Linked DNA regions of Lonchura striata. The main gene of each other region encodes a partner of the protein of the gene in region 4 in a complex. Links are inferred from orthologs where the notes say so. Each region holds a gene or a part of one and is shown on either strand. Other genes may lie near its edges.

Region 1 (8,415 bases), on a different chromosome or scaffold from region 4:
ATTCTATTCTCCAGCAGTCCAATCCCAGTGTCCTAGTAGACATCCACAAACATCATGGTCACCTTCCTTCATTGCTTCACTACCCAAAGCTGCTGCTGCAAATCCAATCTCTAAGACTTACAGAAAAGACCAAGACCAATAATAAAAAAGTTGGGAGAACAGGCAAAACACTTCATAAATACATGCCACCCCTCTTTTATGTAACAACACACCAGCAAAAAGCGATGAACTACATATATCTGAGCCAGATTAAATTCCACCTAGAGGCTGCTGAAATTTTTGTGGATGTCTTGAAAAGAACTAGTGAATAAAACAAGCAGCAATTGCTTTCACCTCTCTGTCAACTCAGTGCTGGAAGTAAGAGTGCCTGGAAGAAACCCAGACGTGAGCCATTATAAACACATTGTTTGCACAGCCTGTCTTTATGATGAAGCATTTAATTTGCTTTTGTAATTAAAAAACTGAATTTGGAATCATTGTTAGAGCTGCAAAATCTCCCCAAAGCCTGTGCCATGCAAACAAACATGAGTAGGATTGAAACACTGGAGTTGTCCTGCAGTGATGCAGTCCTGGCAATTTAACAAAGACAACATTTTGTTAGGTATTTGGGAGGAAGAACAGAAGACAATTGATGCTCCCTCTCACACAAAAGGATGGATTTAAAGCATTCATTGTATATTCCCATACATACCTATCCTCGCAGACTTCTTCCAAAGCAATAGACTGGTGTTCCAAACCCCACATGTTTTAAAAACAATCCACCAGGAATTTTCCTCATACCAGCAAAACACATTTGACAAAACTTTCCATGTTCTTTGTTTTGGTACTCTCCAAAACACTCAGCTACCTTATGAATATATATTCTTAAAAACCAAAGGGACAGGAGGGAACAGGTGACAGGGTAAATATCTACACAAAAGAGTGCAAAAGTAAAACCTTGACAGTAATTCCACTGAGAAGAGTAATACCAGTTAGATAAAATGAGCATTTTTAGACTGACACATTTAATTTAAATTCTATCATACTGACTCCAAGTTTTATTTACTCTTTCAAAAAGCTAAAAATTTATTATTCATTTCAAACATAGGAAAATATTCCAAAGATCACATTATCTTGCTCTTTGGTTAAAGAAATTTCTTCTCCCAGGACCTGCATAAACCACTTGCAGCTTAACATCAGCTCTTCCAGCACATCCCATTACCTGAGTGCTATTCCATGGCTCCCCTGCCTCCTCTCAATGCCCTTACACAGTGGTCCTTTGCCAAATACATAATGTGGTTTTCCTGCTTTTAAGATGTGCTCAACTTCACCTCTCTTACTCCAATGTGCTCTGCAAGTGACAGTACTCCTTGTGGCTCAGCCACAATGCCAACTCACTTTCCAACTCACTGCCCAAGAAATTCACCTTCTGATAATGAGTGAACATAAACAGCAACAAATTATCACTAAAATTAAACCTCCCCAAATCACCTACAATGCATTTGAGCTCGTAGCTCTGCTTTTGAGACTTTCAGCCCACTTGTTCAGCACTCCTGCACAATCTGTGGACCTTGCTCAGTGTCAAGCACATCAACATGTTTTGAGGAAATTTTAGAGTACCACTCAAAACAAAACAGTCATTCCCAGCCTGTTTTGCCTGACACTCAAAAAATGATACTAACCTGTATTTGATTTTTGTATGAGAAGGAAGATCTCTGCTAGAATATTGTTTGGATAGCTGGCTTAAGTCTCCTTCACCTTTTCCTCTTCCTCCTCTTGCAGGTTCAAACGTTGGCCTTGCTGCTGTCGTCATTTTCACTCCTACAGAATCAAGGGATAAAACAAGCTGTTACTACAATTCACAGTGTAAGGCACTTATTAGGAGCTACTTTGCTCCTGGAACTGAAGAAGCAGTGACAAGTCCCACTACAGTATACCAGCTGTCACCCAGCACATGATCCTCAAAATTTAAGCAGCATTTTATGGACAGATTCTATTCAGGTTTCACAACAGAGTCTCTTCCAATATGCTTAGAAAAAGATACATGGAGTCTAACTAAAATATGAAGCCACAATTGTAAAGTAAATAACGCCAGACAGAAACTGATCTTCCATCCTTAAAGCGAGCAGTACAGTCTTGTAACTAAGCTCTTTCCTCACCTGAAAAACTGCAGTCAAAAGTACCTGCCTACTGGGAAGAGCCCTTCACTATTGCCCAGACCATTGCTAGGTACCACCACCAGAAACGCCAGCTCACCGAGGCCACAGTGTGCCTAGGATGGTGCTGATCATACCCACTGATGGACACCTGGCAACATAAACAAAGTGCGAGGAAAAAAGCTTGGATAAAAGGGAGAAGCTGTCACCAGCTCTCCCCTAGAAACTGCAGGAACTCAGCATGTCCTAAAAACCAAACTGGCAGATGCCCAAATCTCTACTGTCATTCTGTGCCTAAGAGTGAAGCAGGTTGCAAGCAGCCTCAGCTGCCCTGGGAGTACACAGTGTGTTCAGCACTGCCTGATGGGACTGCAGAGCCCAAACCAAGTTTATGTTGTTAGTTTGTCACTTTGAATGAAAGCACAAAATACCCAACTTCAGCACCAAAGTGAGAATGTGTAGCTCAGAGTAACATTCCATCAGGCAGAACAGTTACAGCCACTGAACTATTACTCAAAAAACAAAATTAACAGAGGGAAACATCTTTAAAAAGAAGCGAGATGGTAACTAGCCTTGGCTTGTTAATCAAGGACAGCTGCCACTTCACAGTGATGCTGTACAAGTCAGCTAAAGCTCAGTGAAGCATTTTAGATCTGTTGGCAGACATTCTGTGAGGCCCATGATCCAAGAAAGTCACTTATTCCTATAACTTATCCTGTGCTAATTATACGTAACACGAGGGATCCATGAAATCAGGCAAAGAACAAGATCTGGTGTGGCTGCAATAGTCTGGAAAGCATCCCTGCTTCTCTTAGGTTACAGAATTAATCAGTTTGGAAAAGACCTCTGAGCTGAGTTCAACCTGTGACTGAAAACAGCCTTGTCAACTAGACCAGGGCACTAAGTGCCAAAATTCAGTCTTTCCTTAAACACCTCGAGGGATAATGGCTCCACTATCTCCTTGGGCAGGTCATTCCAATGTCCAATCACCCTTTCGGTGAAGAAATTCTTCCTAATGTCCAACCTAGAGCCCCACTGGCACAACTTCAGGTCCCTTCCTCTTGTCCTGGGAAAAGAGGCCAACCAAGTGGCTCCAACCTCCTTTCAAGCAGTTCTAGAAAGCGATAAGGTTCCCCTGAGCCTCCTCTTCTGCGAGCTGAACAGCTCCAGCAGCTCCTCGCAGGACTGAATCGGTCTGTATGCAGTCTGGCCTCCAAAGCCCAGACTCAGCCTTTAGCCTCTCAGATTTCAGAAATACTTGCAAAAGCCTCTTTAGCGCTACGAGGAGCTATCGGCCAAGAGAGAGTGACCGAGCTCGGCCTGCAGCTGAACCGCCTCGGCCTTGCCGGCCTGCGCCCTGACTGGGGGCTCCAAATCACAGCGCCAGCCCCGGCCGCAGCCCGGCCCCTCTCCGAGCCCGCCTCCCCCCGACACCCCCTGCCCCAGGGCCGCCTCCCCCCGACACCCCCTGCCCCAGGGCCGCCTCCCCGCCTTCAGAGCCCTCCCGAGCCTCCCTGCGCTGCCCCGGGCACTCACAGCGCGGCCTCCTCCGCCCCGCGCGGCCCGGCCCTACACCGCCGCCATCATCCCGCCAGGCACCCACAGTGCCCCGCGGCGCGCCCAGGCACGGCGCCAGAGAGGGGCCGGCCATGGAGAGAGGGGCCGGCCATGGAGAGAGGGGCTGGCCATAGAGAGAGAGGGGCTGGCCATGGAGAGGGGCTGGCCATGGAGAGAGAGGGGCTGGCCACGGAGAGAGAGGGGCTGGCCACGGAGAGAGGGGCTGGCCACGGAGAGAGAGGGGCTGGCCATGGAGAAAGAGGGGCTGGCCATGGAGAGGGAGGGGCTGGCCATGGAGAGAGAGGGGCTGGCCACGGAGAGAGAGGGGCTGGCCGTAGAGAGGGAGGGGCTGGCCACAGTGAGGGCCTGGCCATGGAGAGAGAGGGGCTGGCCGTAGAGAGAAAGGGGCTGTGACCAGAGAGAGAGGGGCTGGCCACGGAGAGAGAGGGGCTGGCCACGGAGAAAGAGGGGCTGGCCATGGAGAAAGAGGGGCTGGCCATGGAGAGAGAGGGGCTGGCCGTAGAGAGGGGCTGGCCATGGAGAGTGAGGGGCTGGCCGTAGAGAGAGAGGGGCTGGCCCTAGAGAGAGAGGGGCTGGCCATGGAGAGAGAGGGGCTGGCCGTAGAGAGAGAGGGGCTGGCCGTAGAGAGAGAGGGGCTGGCCATGGAGAGAGAGGGGCTGGCCACAGGGAGAGAGAGGGGCTGGCCACGGAGAGAGAGGGGCTGGCCACAGGGAGAGAGAGGCTGGCCATAGAGAGAGAGGGGCTGGCCACGGAGAGAGGGGCTGGCCATGGAGAGGGGCTGGCCACGGAGAGAGAGGGGCTGGCCATGGAGAGAGAGGGGCTGGCCACGGAGAGAGGGGCTGGCCATGGAGAGGGGCTGGCCACGGAGAGAGAGGGGCTGGCCATGGAGAGAGGGGCTGGCCGTAGAGAGGGGCTGTGACCATAGAGAGGGGCGGTGGCCATAGAGAGAGAGGGGCTGGCCGTAGAGAGGGGCTGTGACCATAGAGAGGGGCGGTGGCCATAGAGAGAGAGGGGCTGGCCATAGAGAGGGGCTGTGACCGTAGAGAGGGGCTGGCCATGGAGAGAGAGGGGCTGGCCATAGAGAGAGAGGGGCTGGCCATAGAGAGGGGCTGGCCATAGAGAGAGAGGGGCTGGCCATAGAGAGGGGCTGTGACCGTAGAGAGGGGCTGGCCATGGAGAGAGAGGGGCTGGCCATAGAGAGAGAGGGGCTGGCCATAGAGAGGGGCGGTGGCCATAGAGAGGGGCTGGCCATGGAGAGAGAGGGGCTGTGACCATAGAGAGGGTTGCGGGCGGGCCCGCCATGGCGGTGCCGGTGCGGAAACGCGCGGCGGCGATGGCGGCGGCCTCGGCGGCGGCGGTGGCTATTAGAACTAGATACTCTTTAAGGTCCCGTCCAGCCCAAAGCGTTCTGTGATTCTATAATCAGTGTAAAAAAGCCGAAGCACAAACGACGATCACTAAGGAATTAAATTCCCCCTCTTAAAGTGCAGCTCCTTCCTTGTGTTTGTTGCTCCTTTTAGACGCACGTTATTGCCAAGGCTCTGGAAGGTGAAGTGAAGGGCTCTCTGCTGCAGCTGCGGATGAGCGCAGCCACGCTTTCCCGAGTGCTGACACCCCGCACGCAGCTCAGGAGCGAGCCCGCAGAGGTCCCGCAGGCATTGCCGAACGCGGAGCCGAGCAGCAAAGGCACCTTGCATCAGCGAGCCGTCAGGGAAAGCGCTGGGGAGAACTGGGCCTTTAGAAAGAAACCAAACATTTCAAGCAAGTTGAGCTTCACTCTGAAGTTGAACAAATAGTGACAGTAATTACTATGTCACATCCTAAGAGCTACACCTGTCAATAACCAAGTATCCAGCATTGCGTTTTCTCATCTGCAAGTGTCCATTGTCACCCTTTGAAATGGGTTTATGATTTCTTCCACCACAGACAGTTTAGACTTAAGATCAAACCTTGCAGAGAAGTCTGGCTTCAGGGAATTGGTGTTGTTGGGCTGCAGACCACAGCAGCCTGAACTAAGTGCATCATTCTGCGATGCTGGGTGTTACTCCTAGATTACAAATCTGTGGACTTTAAATCAAGAAGCACTGACTGTTATGGTAATTTGACTGTCCTGGTGCAGCAGAATGTTGTGTTTTGCTCAGTGACATGTCCTGAAGGCAGTGCCTGCTGTTCAGTTGTAATTTCCATCTGGCAGAAGGTATCAAGTCTTGATTAAAGACCTCCAGAACTGAAGGGACCTCTCCTGCTCTTGGGTTAGAGGAAAAGGAGAGTATTCCATTGCCTGTTAAAAACTAACACAATCCCTGCTCTGAGCAGATTGGAAGATTCTTCAAATAGTGAAGGAATGGCTTTGTGTCTTTGGCCAAAACTCTTCCCCAGGGAGCTTCCTTTCCCCCAGATTGTGTGTACCAATGAAGATGTGTTTTATGGTGAAGAGCTTGGTTTCCTTAGAAGACTTGAGCACTAAAGAAGGATATTGGTGAAGTGGAAATGCCTGAGCTCAGACTCCTAAAAATACAAACTCAATTTCATTGCAGAAGCACTTAACCTTCACAAGTCCACAACTTTTGGGTGTAAAGATCTCAAATCATACAGAGCTTTTCCCAATCTTGAACTTGTTTGGATTTAGTTTAGGAGTAAGAAGTTTAGCACCATATTGTCTCCAGGGCCTAACAATAATAGCTGGTTTACTTCCCAGCTCAAGTACTCAGAGATCCTTCATCCAGTAAATATTCTCAGAGCATGCCTGCACTCATCAATATCACCATCAGCTTCTCAGTTCCTCTGGGTCATATCACAGGGCTCTTTCCCAAGGACTCACCCCACACATGGAGAATTATTGCCCCACACCAGGCATGCTTTGACATTTATGGACATTCTCCTTGTGTTTTTGACTAGCCAAGCATAAGGGAAAGGATTATAGATCTACCGAAGTGCAGGGATGTAGACGGGGATACCACTCAAGTTCAGTGTAAAGGTGGCAGGTGTGAATTCCTATGTTCCTATGATTCTGCATTGAAATGTCTACAGAGAGTGTAAACAAGTAGACAGTAACAAACCCCCAGATCTTCCCCCTTCCCATGGCTGCTCCAGTCATTGCTGAGCAATTTGGCTGTGGCAACACTTAGAAAGGTATTGTGTGCTGCATGGAAAACATGAAAAGCAGAAGTCACCACTTCCCTTGATCATTTCCTCCAGTGATTAATTATTCTCACAATTTAAAACTGCACCTTATTTTTAATTTAAGTTGTCTTTGTTTCCAACCACAGGTGCCTTTTGTGCCTTTCTGTGGTAATTTTAAAAGCCTGTGTTCTCACTGGGTATTTATCCTTTATAATCTAGTCTTGCTGCTGCTTGGACTCTTCTAATCTTCTAACACCAGTTATTTGAGGGCTTTTCTTGCTCTCTATTCAATCTATCAACAATAAAAATATAAAAATTGTTTCAGCATCAGCTCCATCAATGTGAACTAGAGAGATATAATCACTTTCCTGCCACAGCTTTCTGTGTGGTTGTTTATCTGAGGATCACACTGGCCTTTTTACACACACCACTACACTGGGGGCTTGAACCCAGGTACATGTCCATGATGACTCTTGAATCCTTAGAGTTGTCATTTTATGGATTAGAAAATTCCATGTAGTCTTTGAGCTGCAACAAATAAACATACTTGCTTGTGTTACGGGCATTTGTCTTAAAAGTAAATCCTTTGCTGGTGTCACTGGCAAAGCCTCTTAGTGTCCCAAATCCTTTATGGTACCTGTACACATTCTCAATACAATTTGCTTGTGGATCACACCAGGAGACGAACATTATTTGGTTATCCCAGTGCTTTAGGATGTTGGTCTCACCAAAGCGATCCTTTGAAATCATGGCAAGACTGCAAAAGACATAGTGTCCTGAAAAAGAACAAAAACATTTCTAAAAACCCTGTGCCTGTTTGGAACCTTGTTAATGTTTTTGTAGTCTACTTCTTAGCTTGTAGTGTTATGAAGATTGTTTATATTCCTAATGGACTTTAAAAACTCCCTTTTAGCCTTGCCAGTGTAGGGATTTTTTTCCTGTTTCCTGTGTAATTTTTCTATTCTTGAAATCTTACAATGTATATTCTTTGGATTTTGGGTCCCCTTTCTTCCATCTCTAGCATTACTCTTACTTACTGATTTTCACTGGTTTTTTTCTGAATCCAGAAAGGCATTTAGTTGAAGCAATTGTAATTCCTAAGTTTTCATGTCTCCCACTGCAGGCTGTCTTCTTCCCACCCTTGAAGTACAGCAGGACGATGTGCAATCTCCTCTTTCAAAGCAGTGCTCTGAAGGTGAGCATTTTCCCCAGCAGGGCAGAGGTTCAGTGCCAGTATGGAACTCTCCCAGCTTGAATTTCCCCCTTGCCTCCCCTTTCTTGTGCGAAACCGATTTTGGCCATCTGAGGCACAGCTTGCATGGCTGATCAGCAGTAAATTGTAAATCCTGTTTCTGCTTTGGAGTGGCCACAGCACTACAGCACCATTTCCTCCCTCAGGACACCGTGTGCTTTGAAGGATTGTGCCTCCTGCTGGGAAACAGATACAGAAGGCCACAGAGGATTGTCAAGAGTGGAAACTTGGTGCAGGAATGCTCAGCATCCAAACCAGCCTTAAAAGAAGTTCGTGGGAAGTTGCTGTTTCCTTGATTGGAAAAAGAATAGAAGCTGGGCAAAGCTG
Region 2 (6,154 bases), on a different chromosome or scaffold from region 4:
TGCAACTTACAGAAAACTTTCAGCCATGTTGCCCAGCATGTGAGGAACAGATGTTCTTCAAATTACCTGCACTAGCTTGCAGGCAAATTGAAAAACAGTTTTCTATATACCCCTGATCATTTATTGTGAACTGAAGTAGTTCCCCAAAAATCCTGAAGGTAAAATGTTTTCCGACTACTTCACCGATGTCCTCATCTTATTACACACAACAAAGTCTGAAAAATGCTATCTCTGAATTCTTCAGAAGATGGATGTACTGACTTGAGATCACTGATTTCAGAAAATAATCACTGACAAGCTTGCATAGTGCCTTAATAGGACCACAAAATGCTGGACTTTCCCCTCCAATGTTAATACAAAAAAACATGACAGAAATGAGAATATGTTATTTCTCCAAGAACATATCTCACTTGGGGCTGAGGTCTTTCCATCTATGAGAACCCAAAATTTATTTTTACTGTAAGTGAATAGAAAGCCTATTTTAAGTGACAAATCAGAATCAGCATCTGTTCAGCATGCAATGTGATCCAAGCCTGTGTCACCTCAGAGCATTTTACTTTGAAGCAGTAGTGAGTAACCATTATATTCGTATTCCATATTAACAGAGCCCAACCCAATACTAGTATCTTTATTTGATGTAAGGTAGGAAAAACTTGAATGCTAGGTTACTAGAAAGCATAAAGGGAAAAAATAGCTAATGTGTATCAGAAAGAATCAAGGTTTGAAAAATTCAGAGGTACAGGAAAAAGGAAAATGAGGCAAGAAAATTGTTTAAAGAAAAGCCATTTTGGAATTTTTAAGTACTAGAGGAACTGGCTTATGCTACACCAAAAACCACTCCATATAATACTGCTACCAAGACATCAAACCCTTTGAGTACCAACAAAGTTCCCCTCTCTCCCCCCAAAACTGAGTTTTGTAAGGAAGCATCGATCCGCCCGGTGGGAGAAATGCTGTCTAGGAGTATCCGATGCTTTCACCTCGGATGGTTGCGCTGAAATGCCCAATACCGAGCACCAGCGCTCCCGCGGGAACAAAAAGCTCGTACAAGGAAACTACCAAACCAAACATTAGGAATGCCCACGAAGCTTTATTATATTCCACTTGAAAAAAGGCGAGCAGTCAAGAGTCCCGAGGCAGGCATTTTGCGAGGCTTCTTCCCGGTCAGTCCTTCGGGAACCACAACGGGAGAGGGCCGGGACCAGGAGGACGGAGGGTCAGGACTCGTCGGGCTTGTCGGCGGGCGGCCCGCAGGGCTGCAGCATCTTCTCCATCAGGTTGAAGCGGACGCGCGCCTTGCTCTCGTTCTCGGCGATGGCGAAGTAGTTGAGCAGGTCGAAGTGGCCCATGTAGGAGCAGTACGAGTCGCGGTGCTGGTTCACCAGCCACTCCCACTTGGTGGTGTCGGCGTGCCCCGTGCCGATGTACTTGGACTGCAGGTGCTCCAGCTGGCTGTGGATGGTGTAGCGGTCCGTCATGGCGCGGCGGGCGGGCGGCCGGAGCGCGGGACGGCGGAGCGCGGGACGGCGGGCGGCGGGATGGCGGAGCGCGGGACGGCGGAGCGCGGGACGGCGGGCGGCGGGACGGCGGGCGGCGGGATGGCGGGCGGCGGGGACCGGCCTGGGCGGCGGGGCCGGGTCTGGGCGGCACGAACGGGCCTGTACAGCGGGATTGCTCTGGGGGCCGGGACGCTTTCCGGCGGGCGCGGCAGCGCTTCCCGCCGCGGTTCCTGCCGCAGTGCCCGAAGGGAGCGCGCCGGGAAGAGCCTGCCGGGAGCTGTAGTCTCCTGGGGGGCGGGCCTCGGCGTAAGTTAATATTGATGTCGTAGTGAAAATAGCGTACTGTCGGTCGGATCGCGCCACTTGGCTAATCCATAGTAAGGCAAATGTAGTTAGAAGGCTGAGCCGCCATCTGTAACGCAGGGTTATTCTAAAGCACGTACGTGAGGGTTCAGGCGCCTCAGACTGAGGCAGATGCTCAGCTGAGCCTCGATGCAAAGCCTGGAGCCTCCCGTCAGTTTGCAAAGCAAAGATACGGCTTTGATAGTGATCCATTCACCTGGAATCCAAGGGACCTGCACTGTCAAATCTGGCTACGAAATACCCACGTCGTGGAACACGGGAACAGCATCGAAAAGTCTCTCCTGGCAGCAGGTGTCAGAAACAGGAAAGCAGAGCCCGGGGCTCACGCTTCGGGGCACAGCTTCATCCCATCCCGACGCTGCCTCTGTATGAACCGCGGCTCAGGGCTGCTTCCCAAAGAAGCGACATGGAGAAAGAAAAAGCTACCACCAAACAACCCAGGAGGTGCCAAGAGCAGCCCAACACCCCTTTTCGTTAGCCCTTAGCTTGGTGAGAGGGCAATGCACCACTTGCTATGGTCACTCTCACCCAAGTCCACATAGAGAAGGGCTGAGGAGGGCACAGTATTTGCAGGTCCTCCCAAAATAAGAAGTTTGGTGAGGTTACTTCTGCTACATACAGCTGAGGAAAGTTCTGTATGTCCCATCCCTGTTCCTTTGTAAGTTGAAGAGCTGAGTTTATCTTCCCCAGATGGGCTGAGCAGAGTCAGGTGATTTAAGTCAAAATTAAATACTAATGTTGAAAAATATTTTTTACAGTGTGGCTAGTATTTTATCTGAATGTTAAACTCACAAGCAGATATAAAACCCACAGAAAATATAACTTGTGTTGCCTATCTTCTTTTGGTCAAACTCAAGCTTGAAATAAATATTATCATCCATCAAAATAGTTTTTTCCACCTCTGTTCGAGAGTTTACATAATGTTAAGTTTAAAATGTGTGAAATTATTCATGCTTTCATATGCTAGTAATGTTTTTAATTATTTGTTTTAAAATAGGAAAGACACATTGCCAAAAATTTTTCAATAGGACTGAGCTATTTCTTCCTGTTCTTGTAAATGCCCTGTAGTCAAAAAGAAATCCACAGAAATATTATGTGAAAACACAGATGATTCTATGCCCCTTGTTTAAAAGTGAGTGTCTTATAAAACCAGGGCCATATAAGGCAATGTAAAAACAACGTTCTGAAGTGTCCTTACAATTCTGTGCAAAGAGCTAAGTGAGGACTATAATTTTTTTTTTTTTGTTATTTTTATGAGGATCTGTTGAGTCATTGCTACCAAGGCTTACTTAGCTGGAAGCAGATTGCACAGCTGGATATAGCAGTTGCATTCTGTGGTTGCTTTCAGAGAGACCAGGAGAGGAAAAAGAAACAAACACAACACTTTAGGAGTTTCTATGTATGCTGGCTTGCAGAAAGACAAAAAAGGACATATTCTCAACAAGGAAGAGCTTTCATTTCTTTTTTAAATGATGTTTTTTTAAAAAGTGGGATAGCAAGAAGAATGCTAGCTTTTAATAGATGTTCCATGCCAACACAGTGACACACGGGGCTGCCCTCACAGCTGTTTGGAAGTTATCCTCTTGGAAACTATAAACCAGGAGATGTATTGATTAAAATAGCCTTTGGAGAAGAAAAATTCCCAGAAGCTTATCTATCTCTTGTCGATGTTGCAGTTTCTAGGAGTAATAACTGCATTAAATTAAACAGGTGTAATAGTTCTCATGAAAGAAAAACAAAAACAAATGAAAACCAAAACCAAAATAAACCACAACAAATCCCCAGCCAACCAAAGCAATGAAACAACAACAATAAAAACCCAACCAACCAAAAACAAAAAAAAAAAAAAAAAAAAAACACAAAAAAAAAAAAAAACAAAAAAAACCACCAAACTTGACTGAGAAGTGTGAATCTGAAATTTTCAGCAAGTTTGTTACTGGGCCAGATTAAAATGCTGCATTCAGGCATCCAGAACTCTGGGAAAGCACACCAAAACTTCACTCTATATTGGCTTTGGTCAAGAACTTCTGAGACTGCCAGACGAGCTTACCAATTTAAGGAAGAAAAAACAGGTAGTAAAATTTCCAGCTGACAGGCAAACCACAATTATCTACAAGTAACTACTTAACTTCAATTTTAATCTAAAAAGAAAAAGTTCCATCTGCTATCTTTCAAGAATTATATTCAATTATATTCTCTTTCTCTTCATTTCTTATTCTTTATAAAAATAAAATCTATTGTAGGGCCTTCTTTTTCTTGTTTGGTCCATTTTGTACAAAATGAATGCCTATGCTAGGGCACTTTCATTTCAAGTTTAGGAATATAAATGAGTGGGGGAAAGGAGATGCATATATATAGGGAGAGGATTATTCCTCAGTGGTAATACGCTTGTATGACTAGGATTCCTGAAAAAGCAGCATTTTCAGATATGTTGAGGGTTTTGTACTGAATACCATTAAATATCATTATCAGAATATACAATAATGGATGCTTACTTATGGAAATCACATAAATGTGCTGATTTTAGTGCTGAAATTATCTGTTTGGAGAGTAACACCGTATCCCTTCAAGCCAGGTTTCAATAGATTGAGACCCTGGGAGGCTGTAAGAGCTGGAACAGTAGAGGCCACTGGGTGTCAGAGTTGGACTTGTCAAAATTCTTCTTCCATAAAACGGAGTGATTGGTTGCACCTCCGAAATGTAGAGTAAAAAGGGTAGAGGGGGCTGCTGGACCAAGAAAGACATTGTCAGTGGCTGCCCAGTACAAGATACAACCAAATTTTTGAATTCCCTACGGACTCTTTGGGTGGAAGTGTGGAGACATAAATACCCTGCAAACAAGGGGATGTGACGATCCTAATAGATAAAACCAATACACATCCAGAAAGATGATAAAATGGGGAGGTATGCCTTTTTTTTTCTCCCAGAAATTCCTCTATTCTTCACTATATTGATTTATCCTACAAATACAGTGATGAAAAAAAAATTGAGATTGCATTAGCCTAGAAAGAATGGTGCTGGAATTTCAATAATGATAAGAACCCATTGTGTATGTGGCATGTGATTTTTTAAAAGTATATATTTCATTAAAAATATTTGCTTCTGCTAAAACAGGGTTCTTAGATCATTATTTGCAGAGGCCACTTAGCAGTTTTAGGCTGGAAAAGCTATGTTTTTCTAATTGCATATTTGGGGTTTTTTTTTCAGATTTCTGATTCTATCACATGAACTGTGATATAGTTTCTCAAATGTTATTATAGCCTATGAACATTATCAGCCTCAGAAAGCCCTTATTTTGGCCCTTTAAGAGGTGGAAGACAATTTTGCTGCTTTTCTCAAAGATCCTGTGAAAAACATTTTTCACAATCAAGCCTCTTCTTCCACCTTGTTTGATGTAAACTCCCCTGATTTCTTTCTTTTCCTTGTAGTCAGAATCATGATTTTGCTGCCATCTCATAGCAGCCTTTGGGCTGCTTCTGGGACAGAGGAAACACAGTCCTTGCAAGCATGGTTAAGTTTCAAACTTTCTTTCACTTTAAAACTATGTTTTGCTTTGTTCTTGCTTTCATTTATAGAGTATAAATATTCCAAAATCTCAAAGCTGTTTTAGGGTTGTATGGCTGATTCTCTGCCAAAGCTATAGATTGGAAGAATGTGGAGTAAAAAAAATCAGGAAAGAAGAAATACTGTGTGTCCTACCACTAAGGGATACACTTTATGCTGCTCTGTATTAATGTAAAGATAATCACATTATCTTGAATCAGACTGAATCTGGAGAAATTCACTCCTGAAGAATTGTCATACTGAGGAGATCTATGACCTGCACTAACAGTGTCTTACCTAGGAGCAGCTTAAGGATCACAGAGACTGGGCCTTGGAGCTTCACACTCCATCAGTTCCTTCTGAGTACCACTGTGATGCTCTACACCTCCTGTATGGGGCTGAATAACAGCTGTGTGCCTTAGGTGCACAGGACAATTGAATTAGCTTAATTTAGGTGCCACTGAGAACTTCCTAGCCAGGCACAGGAGCACCCTAAAAGCAGAAAGGCAGTAGGGATCACTAGCACAGTGCTTACAGATGAGACACTGAAATAATGTGGTGATCTGATGAATGTGGTGTGGAGGGAGATGGAGCACAGCAGAGGCCTGGTAGAGGCAGCTCTCACTTTCTGCTTAGGGGAAGTTCTTTATTCCAAAGCTATAACATAGAAAATAAAAGCCTGTCCAGTGATGTGATTAGTTACCTATTCAGGCTAAAAACAGCGCCAGTAATAGTCTGCCAGGTGAATT
Region 3 (9,015 bases), on a different chromosome or scaffold from region 4:
ATCCCAAAATCCTGCACCTCAATTAATGGTCATTAACAAAAACTAATTAATTAAGGCTTCATTAACGAATATTGAGATCGGTAATGAGCTTAAACCCCCAAATTTTCCTCCCAAAATTCACAATTTCCCTCCAAAAATCACCTTTTTCTCACCCAAAATTCCCTTTTTTCCCCACCCCAACCTCCCCCCAATTACTAGGGCTGGTTAATGAGTGGTAATTAAGCTAATTAACAAAGTTATTTTAGTATTAATGACTGAAAAATCTCCAATTTCCACACAAATCCCACCAAAAACGTCCTTTTTTTTTCCCTCCCAAAATTCACTTTTTTCCCCCAAAAACCTCTCTGGGGAGCTGATTAAGAAGAGATAATTAAGACAATTAGGCTAATTAAGCTAATTAACGAACTTATTTTGGTAGTAATTGAAAAATCCCCAATTCCCACTCAAACCACCCCAAAAAATCTCCTTTTTTCCCCCCAAAATTCCCTTTTCCCCCCACAAACCTCTCTGGGGAGCTGATTAACAAGGTATAATTACGCTAATTATGCTAATGAACCTAATTAACAAACTTATCTTGCTACTAACGACCCCAAAATCCCCAATTCCCACTCAAACCACCCCAAAAAATCTCCTTTTTTCCTCCCCAAAATTCCCTTTTCCCCCCACAAACCTCTCTGGGGAGCTGATTAATGAGATATAATTACGCTAATTATGCTAATGAACCTAATTAACAAACTTATCTTGCCACTAACGACCCCAAAATCCCCAATTCCCACTCAAACCACCCCAAAAAACTCCTTTTTTCCCCCCAAAATTCCATTTTTTTCCCCCAAAACCCCCTCGGGGACGGCGGTTAACGAGGCGCCATGCAGCTAATTATGCTAATTATGCAAATGAGGGGGCTCACGTGGGTTTCTGCTCGGGGTCGCCGGGCCCCTCGTCCTTCTCCAGCAGCATCGTGCGGAACGTGGCCACCTTGGCCTCGATCTCCTCGGCCGAGTAGCTGCAACGGGGAAAAGGGGGACCCGAATTTGGGGAGGGGTCCCGAGGGGGTCTGGGGGGATTTGGGGAAATTTCGGGGGATTTCGGGAAATTTTGGGGGGATTTCGGGAAATTTCAGGGGGATTTTGGGGGGTTTAAAGGAGATTTTAGGGGGGGTTGGGGGTATTGAAAGGGATTTTGGGGGGTTTAAAGGGAGATTTGGGGTGCCAGGGGGGACCCCCGAATTTGGGGAGGGGTCCCGAGGGGGTCTGGGGAAATTTCGGGGGATTTCGGGAAATTTTGGGGGGATTTTGGGGGGTTTAAAGGAGATTTTAGGGGGATTTTGGGGGGTTTGGGGGATTAAAAGGGATTTTGGGGGAATTTAGGGGGGATTTGGGGTGCCAGGGGGGACCCCCGAATTTGGGGAGGGGTCCCGAGGGGGTCTGGGGGGATTTTGGGGAAATTTTAGAGGATTTTGGGAAATTTTGGGGGGATTTTGGGGGGTTTAAAGGAGATTTTAGGGGGATTTTGGGGGGGTTTGGGGGTATTAAAAGGGATTTTGGGGTGTCAGGGGGGACCCCCGAATTTGGGGAGGGGTCCTGAGGGGGTCTGGGGGGATTTGGGGAAATTTCGGAGGATTTTGGGAAATTTTGGGGGGATTTTGGGAAATTTTGGGGGTTTAAAGGAGATTTTAGGGGGATTTTGGGGGGGTTTGGGGGTATTAAAAGGGATTTTGGGGTGCCAGGGGGACCCCCGAATTTGGGGAGGGGTCCTGAGGGGGTCTGGGGGGATTTTGGGGAAATTTCGGGGGATTTTGGGAAATTTCGGGGGTTAAAGGAGATTCTAGGGGGATTCTGGGGTATTAAAAGGGATTTTGGGGGAATTTAGGGGGGATTTGGGGTGTCAGGGGGGACCCCGAATTTGGGGAGGGGTCCTGAGAGGGTCTGGGGGGATTTGGGGAAATTTTGGAGGATTTTGGGAAATTTTGGGGGATTTCGGGAAATTTTGGGGGGATTTTGGGGGGTTTAAAGGAGATTTTAGGGGGATTTTGGGGTATTAAAAGGGATTTTGGGGTTTAAAGGAGGATTTGGGGTGCCAGGGGGGACCCCGAATTTGGGGAGGGGTCCCGAGGGGGTCTGGGGGGATTTTGGGGAAATTTTGGAGGATTTTGGGAAATTTTTGGGGGATTTTGGGGGTTTAAAGGAGATTTTAGGGGGATTTTGGGGGGTTTGGGGGATTAAAAGGGATTTTGGGGGAATTTAGGGGGGATTTGGGGTGTCAGGGGGGGACCCAAATTTGGGGAGGGGTCCCGAGGGGGTCTGGGGGGATTTGGGGAAATTTTGGAGGATTTTGGGAAATTTTGGGGGATTTCGGGAAATTTTGGGGGGTTTAAAGGAGATTTTAGGGGGGTTTGGGGGCATTAAAAGGGATTTTGAGGGGTTTAAAGGGGGATTTGGGGTGTCCGGGGGGGACCCCGAATTTGGGGAGGGGTCCCGAGGGGGTCTGGGGGGATTTGGGGAAATTTTGGGGGGTTTAGGGAAATTTTGGGGGATTTCGGGAAATTTTGGGGGGATTTTGGGGGGTTTAAAGGAGATTTTAGGGGATTTTGGGGGGGTTTGGGGGTATTAAAAGGGATTTTGGGGTGCCAGGGGGGACCCCCGAATTTGGGGAGGGGTCCCGAGGGGGTCTGGGGAAATTTTGGGGGATTTTGGGAAATTTTGGGGGGATTTTGGGGCATTTAAAGGAGATTTTGGGGGGGTTTGGGGGTATTAAAAGGGATTTTGAGGGGTTTAAAGGGGGATTTGGGGTGTCAGGGGGGGACCCCGAATTTGGGGAGGGGTCCCGAGGGGGTCTGGGGGGATTTGGGGAAATTTCGGGGGATTTGGGGAAATTTCGGGGGATTTTGGGAAATTTCAGGGGGATTTTGGGGGGTTTAAAGGAGATTTTAGGGGATTTTGGGGTGTTTGGGGGTATTAAAAGGGATTTTGGGGTGCCAGGGGGGACCCCCGAATTTGGGGAGGGGTCCCGAGGGGGTCTGGGGGGATTTTGGGGAAATTTTGGAGGATTTTGGGAAATTTTCGGGGGATTTTGGGGGGTTTAAAGGAGATTTTAGGGGGATTTTGGGGGGTTTGGGGGATTAAAAGGGATTTTGGGGGAATTTAGGGGGGATTTGGGGTGTCAGGGGGGGACCCAAATTTGGGGAGGGGTCCCGAGGGGGTCTGGGGGGATTTTGGGGAAATTTCGGGAAATTTTGGGAAATTTCGGGGGGAATTTGGGGGGTTTAAAGGAGATTTTAGGGGGATTTTGGGGGGGTTTGGGGGTATTAAAAGGGATTTTGGGGTGCCAGGGGGGACCCCCGAATTTGGGGAGGGGTCCCGAGGGGGTCTGGGGGGATTTTGGGGAAATTTCGGGGGATTTTGGGAAATTTCAGGGCGTGTTTTTGGGGCGCGCGGCGCTCACCCCTGCTCCTCCATCAGCTCGGCCAGCTCCAGGCATTTCAGCTCCACCCTCCGCTTGCGCTGGTGGTCGAGGATGTCGGCGTTGGGTTTCTTGGCCAGGGCGGCCTCCAGGCGCCTCAGCTCCTCCTCGCCGGGGGGGGGGTCCCCGCCCGCCCCCCCTTTCTTGGGCCGCAGGGCCGAGAGGTTGCGCTGGACGTAGCCGTTGGTGCCGCTGCCCCGCGGCGTCGGCAGCCCGATCCCATTGTACATCCCAGCGCTGGGAACGCGGGAGTCAGGGCCCCCCACATCCCCCAGATCCCCCAAATCCCTGTGTCCAAAATCCCCAAAATCCCTGTGTCCAAAATCCCCAAAATCCCTGTGCCCCAAATCCCCAAAATCCCCCCGTTCCTACAGCCCGATCCCATTGTACATCCCAGCGCTGGGAACGCGGGAGTCAGGGCCCCCCACATCCCCCAGATCCCCCAAACCCTGTGTTCAAAATCCCCAAAATTCCTGTGTTCAAAATCCCCAAAATCCCTGTGTTCAAAATCCCCAAAATCCCTGTGCCCCAAATCCCCAAAATCCCTGTGTCCAAAATCCCCAAAATCCCCCCGTTCTTATAGACCCAAATCCCCCAAATCCCCAAGTTCCTACAGACCCAAATCCCCCAAATCCCTGTGCCCCAAATCCCCAAAATCCCTGTGCCCCAAATCCCCAAATCCCTGTGCCTCAAATCCCCAAAATCCCCCAGTTCCTATAGACCCAAATCCCCAAAATCCCTGTGTCCAAAATCCCCAAAATCCCTGTGCCCAAAATCCCCAAGTTCCTATAGACCCAAATCCCCAAAATCCCTGTGCCTCAAATCCCCAAAATCCCTGTGCCCCAAATCCCCCCGTTCCTATAGACCCAAATCCCAAAAATCCCTGTGCCCCAAATCCCCAAAATCCCTGTGCCCCAAATCCCCCCGTTCCTATAGACCCAAATCCCAAAAATCCCTGTGCCCCAAATCCCCAAAATCCCTGTGCCCCAAATCCCCCAAATCCCTGTGCCTCAAATCCCCAAAATCCCCCAGTTCCTATAGACCCAAATCCCCAAAATCCCTGTGTCCCAAATCCCAAAATCCCCAAGTTCCTATAGACCCAAATCCCAAAAATCCCTGTGTCCCAAACCCCCAAAATCCCCAAGTTCCTATAGACCCAAATCCCAAAAATCCCTGTGCCCCAAATCCCCAAAATCCCTGTGCCCCAAACCCCCAAAATCCCCCCGTTCCTATAGACCCAAATCCCCAAAATCCCCGTTCCTATAGACCCAAATTCCCAAAATCCCTTTGTCCCAAACCCCCAAAATCCCCAAGTTCCTAAAACCCCAAATCTCCAAAATCCCCCAAATCCTACATCCCCAAAATCCCCTGAATCCCCCAAATCCTACATCCCCAAAATCCCCAAATCCTACAGCCCCAAATCCCCCATTCCTGCATCCCCAAATTCCCCAAATCCCCCATTCCTACAGTCCCAAATCCCCCAAATTCCCCAAATTCCCCCTGCCCCAAATCCCCCCTCACTGACCCCAAAACTTCCCTCCCACCCTAAAAAAACCCTTTTATAACCCAAAATCCCCACTTTTCTCCCCAAAATCCCCATTTTACTACAGGAATTCCCACTTTTTAACCCAAAAGTCCCCATCTTCTCCTCAAAATTCCCATTTTCCTACAGGAATTCTCACTTTTTAACCCAAAATTCCCATTTTTCTTCCCAAAATCCCCATTTTCCTACAAGATTCCCACTTTTAATCCAAAATCCAATTTTTCTCCCAAAATTCCCATTTCCCTACATGAATTCCCATTTTTAACCCAATATCCCCACTTTTCTCCCCGAAATTGCCATTTTCCCGCATGAATTCTCACTTTTAAACCCAAAATCCTATTTTTCTCCCCAAAATTCTGTTTTCCTACATGAATTCCCATTTTAAACCCAAAATCCCCATTTTCCTTCACAAACTCCCTAAACTTCTCTGGAAATTCCCTAAAATCTCATTTTCCTTCCCAAAATCACTTTTTTTCCAACTCCAATAATCCATTTCCCCCCAAAATCACTTTTTTTTTCCGCTCAAAATCCACTTTTCCTTCCCAAAACAACTTTTTTTTCACTCAAAATCCTTTTTTCTCCTCACAGCGCCCTAAAATAAATAACTTTTTCCCTAAAATGAGAATTTTTGACCCTTTCCTCTCAAGGCTCCTTCAAATTTCATTTTTCCCCCCCTCACACTTTTAAAAAAACTCCATTTTTCTCTCAAAATCCCACTTTTCTCCCTCACAACTTCCCTAAAAAATGGTTTTTTCTCCCCAAAATCCCCTCAGAACTGCCCCAAACCCCAAATTTCCCCTCACAATTTCCACAAAAACGTTTTTTCCCCCCACAAAAATTAAATTTTTCCTACTTACGACCACTTCCACTCCCCAAACTCCTCAGAATTCCCCTAAAATTCCTCTTTTTTTTAACAAAACACCAAAAAAAATCCATTTTCTCCTCACAACTCTCCGCCAAAATTCACTTTTCCCCTCAAAATTCCAATAAAATTACTTTTTTACAAAACACCCCGAAAAAACTTAATTTTCGCCTCAGAATTTTCTCAAAATTCACTTTTTCCCTCACAATTCCCCTAAACATTACTTTTTTCCCCTCAAATCTCCACAAAAATCCACTTTTTTACCTTTGTCTTTCCCCCAAATCCTTTTCCTCCCTCACAACTCCAAAATCTTCATTCTTCTCCTCAAAATTCCCCAATTTCCCCCGAAATCTCACTTTTCTTCCTCAAAATCGCTTTTTTACCTCATAAATTTAAATTAAATTTTAAAGTTTCACCTCATAAAATGAATTCTGATTAAATTTTACTTCACAAACTTTAAAAATCTCCATTTTTCCCCTCCCAACACCCCAAAATTCTGTTTTTCCCCCAAAACGACAATTTGTCCCCTCAGAATCCTCCAAACTCCAATTTTTACTTTAAAACCCCAAAAAATTTCAACTTTTACTCCTCAGCTCTCCTAAAAACCCTAAACTCCCTCAAACTTCATTTTTCCCCTCAAAAACTTTTTAAAAATCGGTTTTTTCCCACTAAAAACACTTTCCCCCAAAAAACTCCAATTTTTCCCCTCACAAACCCTGAAACTCCTAAAAAAATCAGTTTTATCCTCAAAAACTCCCCAAAACCCCACACCTCAAAAAAAAAAAATCCATTTTCCACCAAAAATTCATTTTTTTCTCATATTCCCATTTTCCTGCAGAAATACCCCAAAATTCCCATTTTCCCCTCTATTTTACCCCAAATTTCCCCACACTTACCAAAAAATCCTTTTTTTCATCCAAAATCGCCTTCTTTCCGCTCGAATCCGCTTTTCCCTCCTCAAACCCTCATTTTTTACCCCAAAATCCCAATTTTCCCCTCAAAATCCCATTTTTTTCCCCCAAATTCCGCTTTTCCCCTCACAAACCTCCCAAAAACCACCATTTTCCCTTCAAAAATCCCCCAAAAATCAACATTTTCCCCTCAAAAATTCCCTTTTCCCCCTCAAAACTCCCCGAAATCCAACCTTCCCCTCACGAACCCCTAAAATCTTATTTTTAACCCCAAATCCCGTTTTTTCCCCTCATGACCTTAAAAAATCTCTTTTCACCCCCAAAATTCCATTTTTTCTTCCCTCACCTCAATTTTTTTCCCTTTTTGCCCAAAATCCCATTTTTTATACCCCAAACCCAAAATTTCCCCTATTTTTCACCCTGAATTTCCCCATTTTTACCTAAAAAATCCCAATTTTTCCTCCCTCACCTCAAATTTTCCCCATTTTTCACCCAAAATCCCATTTTTTCCTCCTTCACCCCAAATTTTTCCCCTTTTTTATCCAATATCCCATTTTCCTTCCCTCACCCCAAATTTCCCCTTTTTTCACCCAAAATCCCATTTTTTCCCCCTCTAAAATCCCATTTTCCGCCTTTTTCCCCCTCAAAAAATCCCAATTTCCCCCAAGACTTTCTTTTTAACCAAAACCTCCCCTTTTTCACCCAAACCTTTTTCACCAAAACTTTTCTTTTTCCCCTCACACTTCCCTTTTTAAACTTTCGCTTTCCCCTCACGACTCATTTTTAATTGTTTTTAATCCCTTTTTTCTCCCAAATCTCCACTTTTCCCCCAAACCCCATTTCCCCATCCCGAGCTCCCCCTTTGCCCAAAATTTGTTTTATTTTCCCCAAATTCCCATTTTTTCCTCCCTCACCCCAAAACTTCCCAATTTTTCACCCAAAACTTCCTCATTTTTTACCCAAATTCCCATTTTTACCTCCCTTGCCTCAAAATTTCATATTTTTTACCCAAAATCCCATTTTTACCTCCCTTGCCTCAAAATTTCCCACTTTTTACCCAAATTCCCATTTTTCCTCCCTTGCCTCAAAATTTCCCCATTTTCACCCCAAATTTTCCCCCTTTTTCACCCCAAATTCCATTTCCATTTCTCCCCTAGATTTCCCCATTTTCCCCTTAAATTCCCCATTTTTCACCCCAAATTCCCATTTTTTCCTCCCTCACCCAAAATTTCCCAATTTTTCACCCAAAACTTCCTCATTTTTTACCCAAAATCCCCAGTTTAAGTCACTCACCTCAAAATTTCCCTATTTTCTACCCAAAATCCCATTTTTACCTCCCCTGCCTCAAATTTCCCACTTTTTACCCAAATTCCCATTTTTTCCCTCCCCCACCTCAGAATTTCCCCATTTTCCCCCTAAATTTCCCCATTTTTACCTCAAATTTCCCCATTTTCCCCCTAAATTTCCCCATTTTTACCTCAAATTTCCCCATTTTTTACCTCAAATTTCCCCCTTTTTCACCCCAAATTCCCATTTTTTCCTCCCTCACCCAGAATTTCCCAATTTTTCACCCAAAACTTCCTCATTTTTTACCCAAAATCCCAGTTTTAGTCACTCACCTCAAAATTTCCCTGTTTTTACCCAAAATCCCATTTTTACCTCCCCTGCCTCAAAATTTCATATTTTTACCCAAAATCCCATTTTTCTCCCTCACCTCAGAATTTCCCCATTTCCCCCTAAATTCCCCATTTTTACCTCAAATTTCCCCATTTTCCCCCAAATTCCCATTTTTCATCCCAATTCCCATTTTTTCTCCCTCACCTCAGAATTTCCCAATTTCCCCCAAATTCCCATTTTTTACCTCAAATTTCCCCATTTTCCCCCAAATTTCCCAATTTTTTACCTCAAATTTCCCCATTTTCCCCAAATTTCCCCCATTCCCCCCCAAATTTTCCCTTTTTCACCCCAAATCCCATTTTTCCCCCTCACCTCAGAATTTCCCCCCAAATTTCCCATTTTCCCCGATTTTCCCCACTTTTCCCCTCACATTTCCGCTTTTTTTCTCCCCTCACGCCGCCCCCCCCCCCCCCCCGCTCCCGCCAAGGCCGCGCGCGGGCCTCGCCCCTCCCCCTCCCCTCCCCCCCTCCCCTCCCTCACCCCCCCACCCCCCGGCCCTCACCTGCTCCCTATCGCCGACAGCTCCGCTCTGTCGCGACAGGACCCGCGAGCCCCGCGCGGCC
Region 4 (8,060 bases):
AAAAGAGTTGTGTTGAGGAGGCTGTAGAGTTGGAATAAATCCTTTTTGCCTGTGGTACAAGAATGGAAGTGGAGGACTTTGATCACTGAAATTACTTAGATGGGTACAACCCACGTGCTCTGGGCAAGCAGAAAGTGCTTCTCACACTCAACAGCTGAGCCACAGCCAGGGCAGTGCTGAGTGAAGGTTGTCACACAAACAGGTTTTATCAGCATCCTGGGCCGCACCAGTCTCCATGTGGGGATTCCTAGACAGCCATGAAGGTTTATAGAGGAAAGAAATTGCACTACTAGGGCTGGTCTGACAGGAGCGATGTGCAAACGGAGAGCACAGCAGGATTTTCTCCTATTCCTTGTCTCTACAGTTCTCTGCAGGGTAGAGAAACACTTGGGACCGGAGTTTGTGGAGCGGATTATTCTGACCCGAGATAAGACCGTGGTGGCTGCTGACCTGCTGTTTGATGACAAGGACACCATCCAAGGTTTGAACAGCATTTCCATGGCTGGCTGCTGGCTGGGGAGCCACCCCACGGCTGATTCCAGCTTTTCCCCCCTTCCCACAGGCGCGGAGCCAAACCCGAGCTGGGAGCACATCCTGTTCACCTGCTGCCACAACAGGCACGTCCAGCTGCCGGTCTGGCGCCGGCGCCTGCGCTCCTGGGCCGACGACTGGAAGGCCATCCTAGAAAGCAAGTGCAGGCAGTAGGCCGGGAAGGGGATGCTCTTCCCACTGCCAGGAAACAACCAGCCCAGCCCCTGCCATGCCCAGGAGGCTCTGTCACTGCAGGGATCAGCCACAGAAACGAGCTGCTCCTGTCAGACAGTGCTCTGTGTTTCTGGAAGATTGCTCTGCACCGTTCATCTCCTTAGTGTTTTGGATGTTTGCTGTTGGAGAAGAGAAACTATAAACTACAAGCAGCTGTGGTTGGATTTTTGTGTGTGTTTAACCTCATTCCTGTTTGGTTTGTGCTGTCTGGGGCCAGAGGGGAGAGAAGAGGAAGAAGGCTCTCAAATGTAAGCAGATCCAGTGTGGGTGTCTGTCAGGAAGCACTGAGCTCAAACCTTTTAAATTTTATGTATTTAGCCACCCTGGTTATGGGGTTTCCTCTTGCCTCATGGCTGATAATGAAAAGAGACTAGGCTGGCTTCGATTTTTTGGCCCTTGTGCTTGAGTAAGAGCAGGCAAAGGCTGCAAGTGCTGGAGAAAAATATTCATTAGCTCACACAGAAATGATTACACAGCATTTAAGTTAATGTTTTATTAACAGAAGCTTTTACAAGAGAGCTGTTCTCATGAGCCAGGCTGTCATGAGCCCGTTTTTTTTTTACTTCACCTTTCTCATCAGTGGTAATAAAGACAAACTTAGCACTTCTTCATTTATAGGGCAGCTACAGCCTGCCTACCCTATGTAATGATTCCCTAGCTGGCTGCCTGTGCCACAATTAGAGGATGGCATAACTAGTGCCACAGGGATGGAGAGATTGTGAACGGGGCAGGGAAACTCCTTTCTCTGAAGGAAGAATACCTTTCTGTGACATTTCAGTGACTTGACACTTAGCGTCACTTGTCACAGACACTTAAGGGGAGAGGTGTAGCACAACCAGCCAGGAACCGGAGTGGATATAATTCTGCTCAATAACCTGAGCAGAACACCCCTCTTTACTGGGAAGTGTTATTTGTGCAAACCGTGTGCTGAGCTGCAGTTGGCAAAGCACTTTCCAATGTGCAGCTATGACCTGCTTTATTTTAAATATTTGCAGGCTTAGCTGAACGCTTGGCCCAGCTGCTGTGTTAGTGCTGTTCCATCCTGTTTGTTAACTAAACACCAGCACTGGTGGCACCAACTCCTCTCTTTAATGCTGCTCTTGACCTGCTGAGCAGAAAGGGAGAACAACAGGAGGTTCCCCTCTCCACAGCCCTGCTCAGTCCTTGGGCAGAGGAATGCCCACTGCCGTGTGCTTGCTGAGGTTCCTGGCCTCCTCCACCTGTGGAGGGCTGCAGTAATCCTGCAGGAAGATGGATGCCAGGTTACTGAGGCGCGTGTTGGCCGAGAGCGAGAAGCGGAGCATGCATTCCACCACGGGCAGCGCCGTGGTCTGCGCGCGCGACCGCGGTGTCGTCAGGAACATCAGCGTGGTCACGGCTGACACCACGGTCTCCTCGTTGGAGCTGGACAGGCAGTTGATGATGGGCTCCACCCCGTTGGCCTCCAGGATGTACTCTTTGTTTGTTTTATCCAAGCACAGGTTGCAAAGGCCACCTGGAACGGCAAGAGGAAAGTGTCCGAGGTGACGCAATTCACAGCTCATCCTATTTCTATCATCCAGATCTTCTGGATGGATGGAAAATTCTTAACGATTCCCTAGGCTGTGCGTTTTTGATTGTTTCCAGCGATTTTCCACCAGCACGCTCCGGCTGCCTGTCATTAGAGGGCACTGTTACTGCTGCACATAACTGCTCCCACACAATGATTCCAGGAACGCTCACTCATCCCTAAGGGAAGACACAAGCCAGCAGTTTTATTGCAGGTGCTATAGAAAGCCAGAGAATGGAGGTAACAGAGTTAGCAGTCAAGAAACACAGAATGTTTGAAACTTGAAACTTTTGAGATGCAGACACAAACCTTAAAAATCAAATCCATTTAGTATCATCTCACAGAACCACTCACAGCATCTGGCCTTTTAGCTTATGTTCAGACAATGAAAAATCGTGGTAAGGTAGTTCCTCAAAAGATTTATTAAAATTGTCAAGTAAGTATTCTAGAAGACCAGTTGCCAATATCAGAATGGTTACATGGATCTGTACAGTGTACCTGGCAAAATATATGTATTAACAACTGCTTCTCTACAGGACAGATTTCAGTACAAAGTTAATCAGGTAGTGTTTAGGAAAAAAAACCACGAAACAACAAAATCTTTTCCAGATAGTGTCTTCATTAAGCTCTGCAAGGACATGGAAGACACACCTGCCTCTGACTTCTCTCCCATTGTGCACTAAACGAGGCTTTATCAGCACAGTGTGGGTTTGTTTTTGGAGCCCTGGGTGACTCTGGGGCAGGTTAAGGACCAGACCTAGGGTGCTGGGGCAGCGCTTACCCATGGCAAACTCCACGAGGCTCTCGTTGTCCTCCGTAAGCATATCGAGGAACAGGTCCAGCACCTGGAGCTGCCGGAGATACTCGTAGTTGCTGGGGTCGTAGGCGAAGTTGGCCAGGTTCGCCAGCACCTGCTCCTTGGCCTCTGCAGGGGAAAAGGGTCGGTGCGTGAGGAAGCGGTCGGCGCGGAGGGGGCGAGCGAGCAGCGGCGTTTGTTACCTGTGCTGTCCGTCACCTGGAACTCGGTGACGAGCGCCTGCAGGTACTCCAGCCGACCCAGTTCCATCGGGGCACACCGCACGGGCTGCCCGTTGCACCGGACTGGGTGCTCCGAGGAATGGAGACGACACGCCCGCCTCAGCGCGGCGGGAGCAGCCCGCCCGCCGCCATTTTGTGGGCGGGACACGGCGGTGCCAGCTCCCCTCAGGTTGCCGCCATTTTGTGGGCGGGACAAGGCGGTGCCAGCGCCCCTCAGGTAGCCGCCATTTTGTGGGCGGGACAGGGAGGTGCCAGCGCCCCTCAGGTTGCCGCCATTTTGTGGGCGGGACAGGGAGGTGCCAGCGCCCCTCAGGTTGCCGCCATTTTGTGGGCGGGACAGGGCGGTGCCAGCGCCCCTCAGCGGTCGCCATTTTGTGGGCGGGACAGGGAGGTGCCAGCGCGCCTCAGGCGGCCGCCATTTTGTGGGCGGGACAGGGAGGTGCCAGCGCACCTCAGGCGGCCGCCATTTTGTGGGTGGGACAGGGCGGTGCCAGCGCCCCTCAGGTAGCCGCCATTTTGTGGGCGGGACAGGGAGGTGCCAGCGCGCCTCAGGCGGCCGCCATTTTGTGGGCGGGGGGAGGCCCGCGCCCCAGGGGGAGATGTGGCTGTTCCGCAGCTGGCTCTCTCTCTAAATACATTATATATAATTATATACGTTCTATAAAAACAAATTAGCCTATGTCGAGGTATTTGACTGTCTCATTATATGGCAGAGCGTTGCTGTTTAAACGTGTGGTTTTGCAAAGCAGGTAACCTTTCCCCACTGATTTCTTACTCAAAGAATTTTCACCTCTGTGCTTGTGCTATTCCATCCTAATGCTGTTGTCCTTGGGGTAGTGTTGCTCCTGGATCAGTTCCAGTTTAAATAACGGGATTGTCATTCATGAAGCTGAGGGATAAAAAGTAAAAACGGGACACAATATGTGCACAGTGAGGGAAATTATCTGTGAAAAAAAAATGAAACAAAGCCAGGGAGTGAATTAAAGAGCAGCAGGTGATTCTAGCTTGGTTGTACAGTGGTTTAGGCACAGAGCAAAGTGAGTCCCTTGTTTTGAAGTAACACAGCTCGGTGAAACCACCACAATTTTACCTGCTGCAAGAGGGTTCAATTATGGTTCATGTTGTGTAAATATACAAGGTAAAGGTTAATAAAGATCATAAACTGTAGGAGTGGACTCTGCAGAAATTTGTACTGCTTTTATTGAAGCAATTACATGCATGGCTGTTCTGTGGATAAGGCAAGGAACAGGCCGTGAGAATTTTATTTTTTATGTTATCTCAAATACAATTGATTTTTATATCAAGCTAATTAGTCATGGACTGATCCACATGGCACCAGTGACAAGGGTGGTGGGCTGATAACCCACACAGCTGAGGGCACTGAAATATCTGCCCATTACTACAATAAATAGAAGGATGAGCAAAGAAGCTTCACTGAATGCAGTAATGCTAAATATTTTAACATTGTAATGGTGTAGGAAGATACAAAACATGAAACACAAAACATTTATTTCTATGTGGTATAAAAGTTTAAGCCAGGCTAAATGCTAACAACTTTAGCTCTTCACATGATTATCAACTGAAGTCAGTGTGTATTTATGTATATGTTTAAATATATACATGTATTTTTATCTGCATATTTGAATATATCTGAAAATTATCAGCAAGGTGGTACGAACTGTGTCTATATTAGAATGTTTTGCTAATGTAGTAAGAAATCTCCTCTAATGTGTGCCTTTATAAGTGGTAAGTGCTGCTGTACTTTAAATCCTCATCTATCATTAAACAGAAGGTGAATGAGAAATGTGGGAAAGCAGGAGCAGAGAAAGCAAACACAGGGAGCTAGTCCATGCAAACAGAGCGCTGCTGGGATTGACTAATAATGGAGGGGGGGGGGGAACTGTGTTTAAAAAGGAAAAATGCAATTACTTCTGTTGGTAAGAACTGCATTTAACCCACCCGATATTGGCGGTACAGTTTAATGGTCTGAGTGCTCCAAGCAATGGCTGTTTGCCAGAGCAGTTCCCAGAGCAGGGGCTGATCTAGCCAGGGTAGTCACAGCTCCAGGGGCTATTCTGGTGACTTCCATAGCACACCGAAGCCAGAATTCAGGAAATTTAGATTTCTAGTAGTTGTTTCTTTTCTTATATCTACTAGATATGTCTGCAAGCAGCAAGACAAGCTCTTAAATGAAGTGATTTTGCACTTCAGAGGCGTCTTAGAGTGTGTAAGATTGCCGTAACCTTTATTTGGGGGTTATTGCTATTAAATGTATATAATTAATATTAAACTTTCTCAAGTATTACCCTGACAAAGAATCTTAGGCTTTTAAGGATCATGATCTTGCAATATGTTAGTGTGAATGTCCCCAGTGTGTTTCATTTCAGTGATGAAATGTGCTTCTAGCCAAAATGTTTATCTTGCAATAGTGAGAATATCTTCAATGATAAAGGGGGCAGGGGAGGGGCAAGAGAGGACATGGCTCAATTTTTGTGGCTCTGTTATTTCTCAGAGATTTGTAACCTAGCTGAGTTATTAGTGTTTGTCCCAGGGTTGTTTTACTGTCTGCAGGTGTTAAAGGAACTGCTTCGGTGAGGCTGCTGTTGCCTTGTGTAAAAGGCTGACCTTAAACAAATGAGGGGAATTTTTATCACTTTCTTTTCCTTCTGGTCCCCAAGATTCCTGAGTGTTGCTGCACCTGTAGGATCCCTCTGAGGGGGAATATTTATTATTCTGTAGCATGCTCAGGTCTCTCTTGGTATCCTTTGCCAAGCTCCTGCTCAAGGCAGCTTGGAGTCCAGGTGGGAAACACACATGGGAGAGGAGACCCATGGAAAGGAGAGGAGTTGTTTTCTCTGTTATGGGAACTAAGACATCATATTCACCTGTGGAAACACAGCATAAAATGTAATACTTCTTGACTGCTGAGGATTTGCTTCAAACCTGTGGGTTGTGGATTACTTTTAAAGGCTCTGTGGAAAGTAACCAGGGGAGACAAACCTGTTTTCAGGCTTAAGTTCTATTAGAAAGGTTTCAGTCAGCAACTTAAGAAATGTTAAAATAACAGGTTTGTGAATTTGTTGTTTTTCTTCCCAGAAACCTCTCTCTGCACCTGCGAATAAGTCCCAGTGACCCCAGAGATAAGTCTGGGAGTATCAAAAAACACTTCTGAAAAGTGTCATCCATCCTAAATTATCTTGCACAATCAAGAAATTATCAAAACAGGTATCTTTGCCTTGGTGTAGGAGGAGCTGATCTCTGTGTCAGCTTCAGTTGGTGAAGATTTTTTGGTTTTGCCCTGTACATTTCCTTTTTTATGAAGCAGCCAAGGCAAAAGCATTACAGGTGGATCAGCTGGCTCTATGCAGGAGGTGCCTTCCATTGCTCCTTCACCTAACCTTTGTTTCCTGTCAGAAATTTTGGTGGATTGTAGCTTACACCATATCTTGCCTATTTTGTCCAGGACATTTGTAGCAATGAGAGGATCTGGGGCCACATAACCTCATATTTCTGTAAGAAAACAGAAAGGGAGTGTAGAAAGGTGAACAGAATTTAAAATTTAAGAATTACAGAGAAAATGGCAACCTGTTCAGCTGCTTAGCTGTTTATTTGCAATAGCTAGAAGAAATTAGGGATTTAATCCCTTTTTATTGCTTTTTTGTGAGAAAGCCTCTTCATTTTCTTAGGAATGTATAGAAGTCTCTTTTGGTAAGCTGAGAAGCACCAGTCCCTCTTTACTTCATAGTTATGGATCGTGTAAGCATTACATAAGTTAATAAACACATGTGATGAGAGATCAGATATGTATGTCTCCCCCTAACCATCTTATTTAAGTATAGGTTTGTTCAGGAAATGCAAATCCTCCTGGGTCTGTAATCCCAAGACAGTATTGAGCTGTAGGAGCAGGAGCCTGTCTGAAGGGCTGACTCCCGTTTTGTGTAAAAGCCACCTGTTAAGCCATTGTAGTCTCTGAAGAACGTGGAGTCAGTTTTTGAATGGTTTCATGCAAAGTGTTTTTTTTTTAATTGGTTTGTTTGTTTTTTCTGGGGAGCTCTAATGAAAGCTGTGGGTTTGTCACTAGGAACGTGTTAGGACAGTTCTCCAGATAAGCACTGCAGCTGAGTTATAACAGTTCTTAGACAGGCACTGCAGTTCCATTGAAGGCTGTTACTTCTTCCATTTCACTCCCATTTTGTGCTTCCATCTTTTTGATTGTTCTGATGTGTTGGGTTATCTTTATCCGTGTGCTTCATGAGCTGTTATCTGTGTCTGTTGGATCAGGGATGACACAGAATATGAACAGTTTGCATCTTGAGCTGATGCTGAGGCTGCTGCAGCCATTGTCTGAGCAGAGACAAGCCTAAATCCTGGGAATGTGGCAGAGAAAGCCACTTACACTCAAGGCTGTATGGATAGAAAGTCAGCAACACTGGCTTTTTCCACTATGCTTCCCCCACAGATTTCTTTGTAAGTTCTGCTTCTATGAAATATAAGTTATGTTTGTGCAAAGTTCTCTATAATGGGAATGCTGGTGTAATTAGGTTCAAAAGTCTAAGACTAAAGAGCTGAACTGATCTCCACAAAGAGGAGCTACAGTTGCTTTGTATTTTGCCCTATAAAAGGATGCATATCCTTATTCATAGGTCTGATATTACCCTCCCTGCCACAAATTGGTTCCAGTTGATGCTGAAGAGTGTTTACATGAGCC

What was found.
Region 1: ARMC7 (region 4) and CWC15 share a complex: the UniProt entries of both Homo sapiens proteins name them as parts of the minor spliceosome. The link is inferred for Lonchura striata from reciprocal best matches to the Homo sapiens genes ARMC7 and CWC15.
Region 2: ARMC7 (region 4) and SF3B5 share a complex: the UniProt entries of both Homo sapiens proteins name them as parts of the minor spliceosome. The link is inferred for Lonchura striata from reciprocal best matches to the Homo sapiens genes ARMC7 and SF3B5.
Region 3: ARMC7 (region 4) and uncharacterized protein LOC110483994 share a complex: the UniProt entries of both Homo sapiens proteins name them as parts of the minor spliceosome. The link is inferred for Lonchura striata from reciprocal best matches to the Homo sapiens genes ARMC7 and SRRM2.

The regions. Positions count from the first base shown.
Region 1 is NC_134604.1:39,648,560-39,656,974, forward strand, and holds the start of CWC15 (spliceosome-associated protein CWC15 homolog), read right to left. Parts: upstream 3,797-8,415; 5' UTR 3,672-3,796; intron 1,801-3,671; 5' UTR 1,793-1,800; coding exon 1,662-1,792; intron 1-1,661. UniProt on the Homo sapiens protein: Involved in pre-mRNA splicing as component of the spliceosome. Component of the PRP19-CDC5L complex that forms an integral part of the spliceosome and is required for activating pre-mRNA splicing.
Region 2 is NC_134605.1:50,067,703-50,073,856, reverse strand, and holds SF3B5 (splicing factor 3B subunit 5), read right to left. Parts: upstream 1,557-6,154; 5' UTR 1,479-1,556; coding exon 1,218-1,478; 3' UTR 1,071-1,217; downstream 1-1,070. UniProt on the Homo sapiens protein: Component of the 17S U2 SnRNP complex of the spliceosome, a large ribonucleoprotein complex that removes introns from transcribed pre-mRNAs.
Region 3 is NC_134637.1:299,506-308,520, reverse strand, and holds the start of uncharacterized protein LOC110483994, read right to left. Parts: upstream 3,694-9,015; 5' UTR 3,690-3,693; coding exon 3,442-3,689; intron 1,004-3,441; coding exon 908-1,003; intron 1-907. UniProt on the Homo sapiens protein: Required for pre-mRNA splicing as component of the spliceosome. As a component of the minor spliceosome, involved in the splicing of U12-type introns in pre-mRNAs.
Region 4 is NC_134621.1:5,394,350-5,402,409, forward strand, and holds ARMC7 (armadillo repeat-containing protein 7), read right to left. Parts: upstream 3,529-8,060; 5' UTR 3,381-3,528; coding exon 3,314-3,380; intron 3,240-3,313; coding exon 3,096-3,239; intron 2,261-3,095; coding exon 1,923-2,260; 3' UTR 1,231-1,922; downstream 1-1,230. Other genes in the region: NT5C (5'(3')-deoxyribonucleotidase, cytosolic type), read left to right, coding at 365-481, 563-705. UniProt on the Homo sapiens protein: As a component of the minor spliceosome, involved in the splicing of U12-type introns in pre-mRNAs.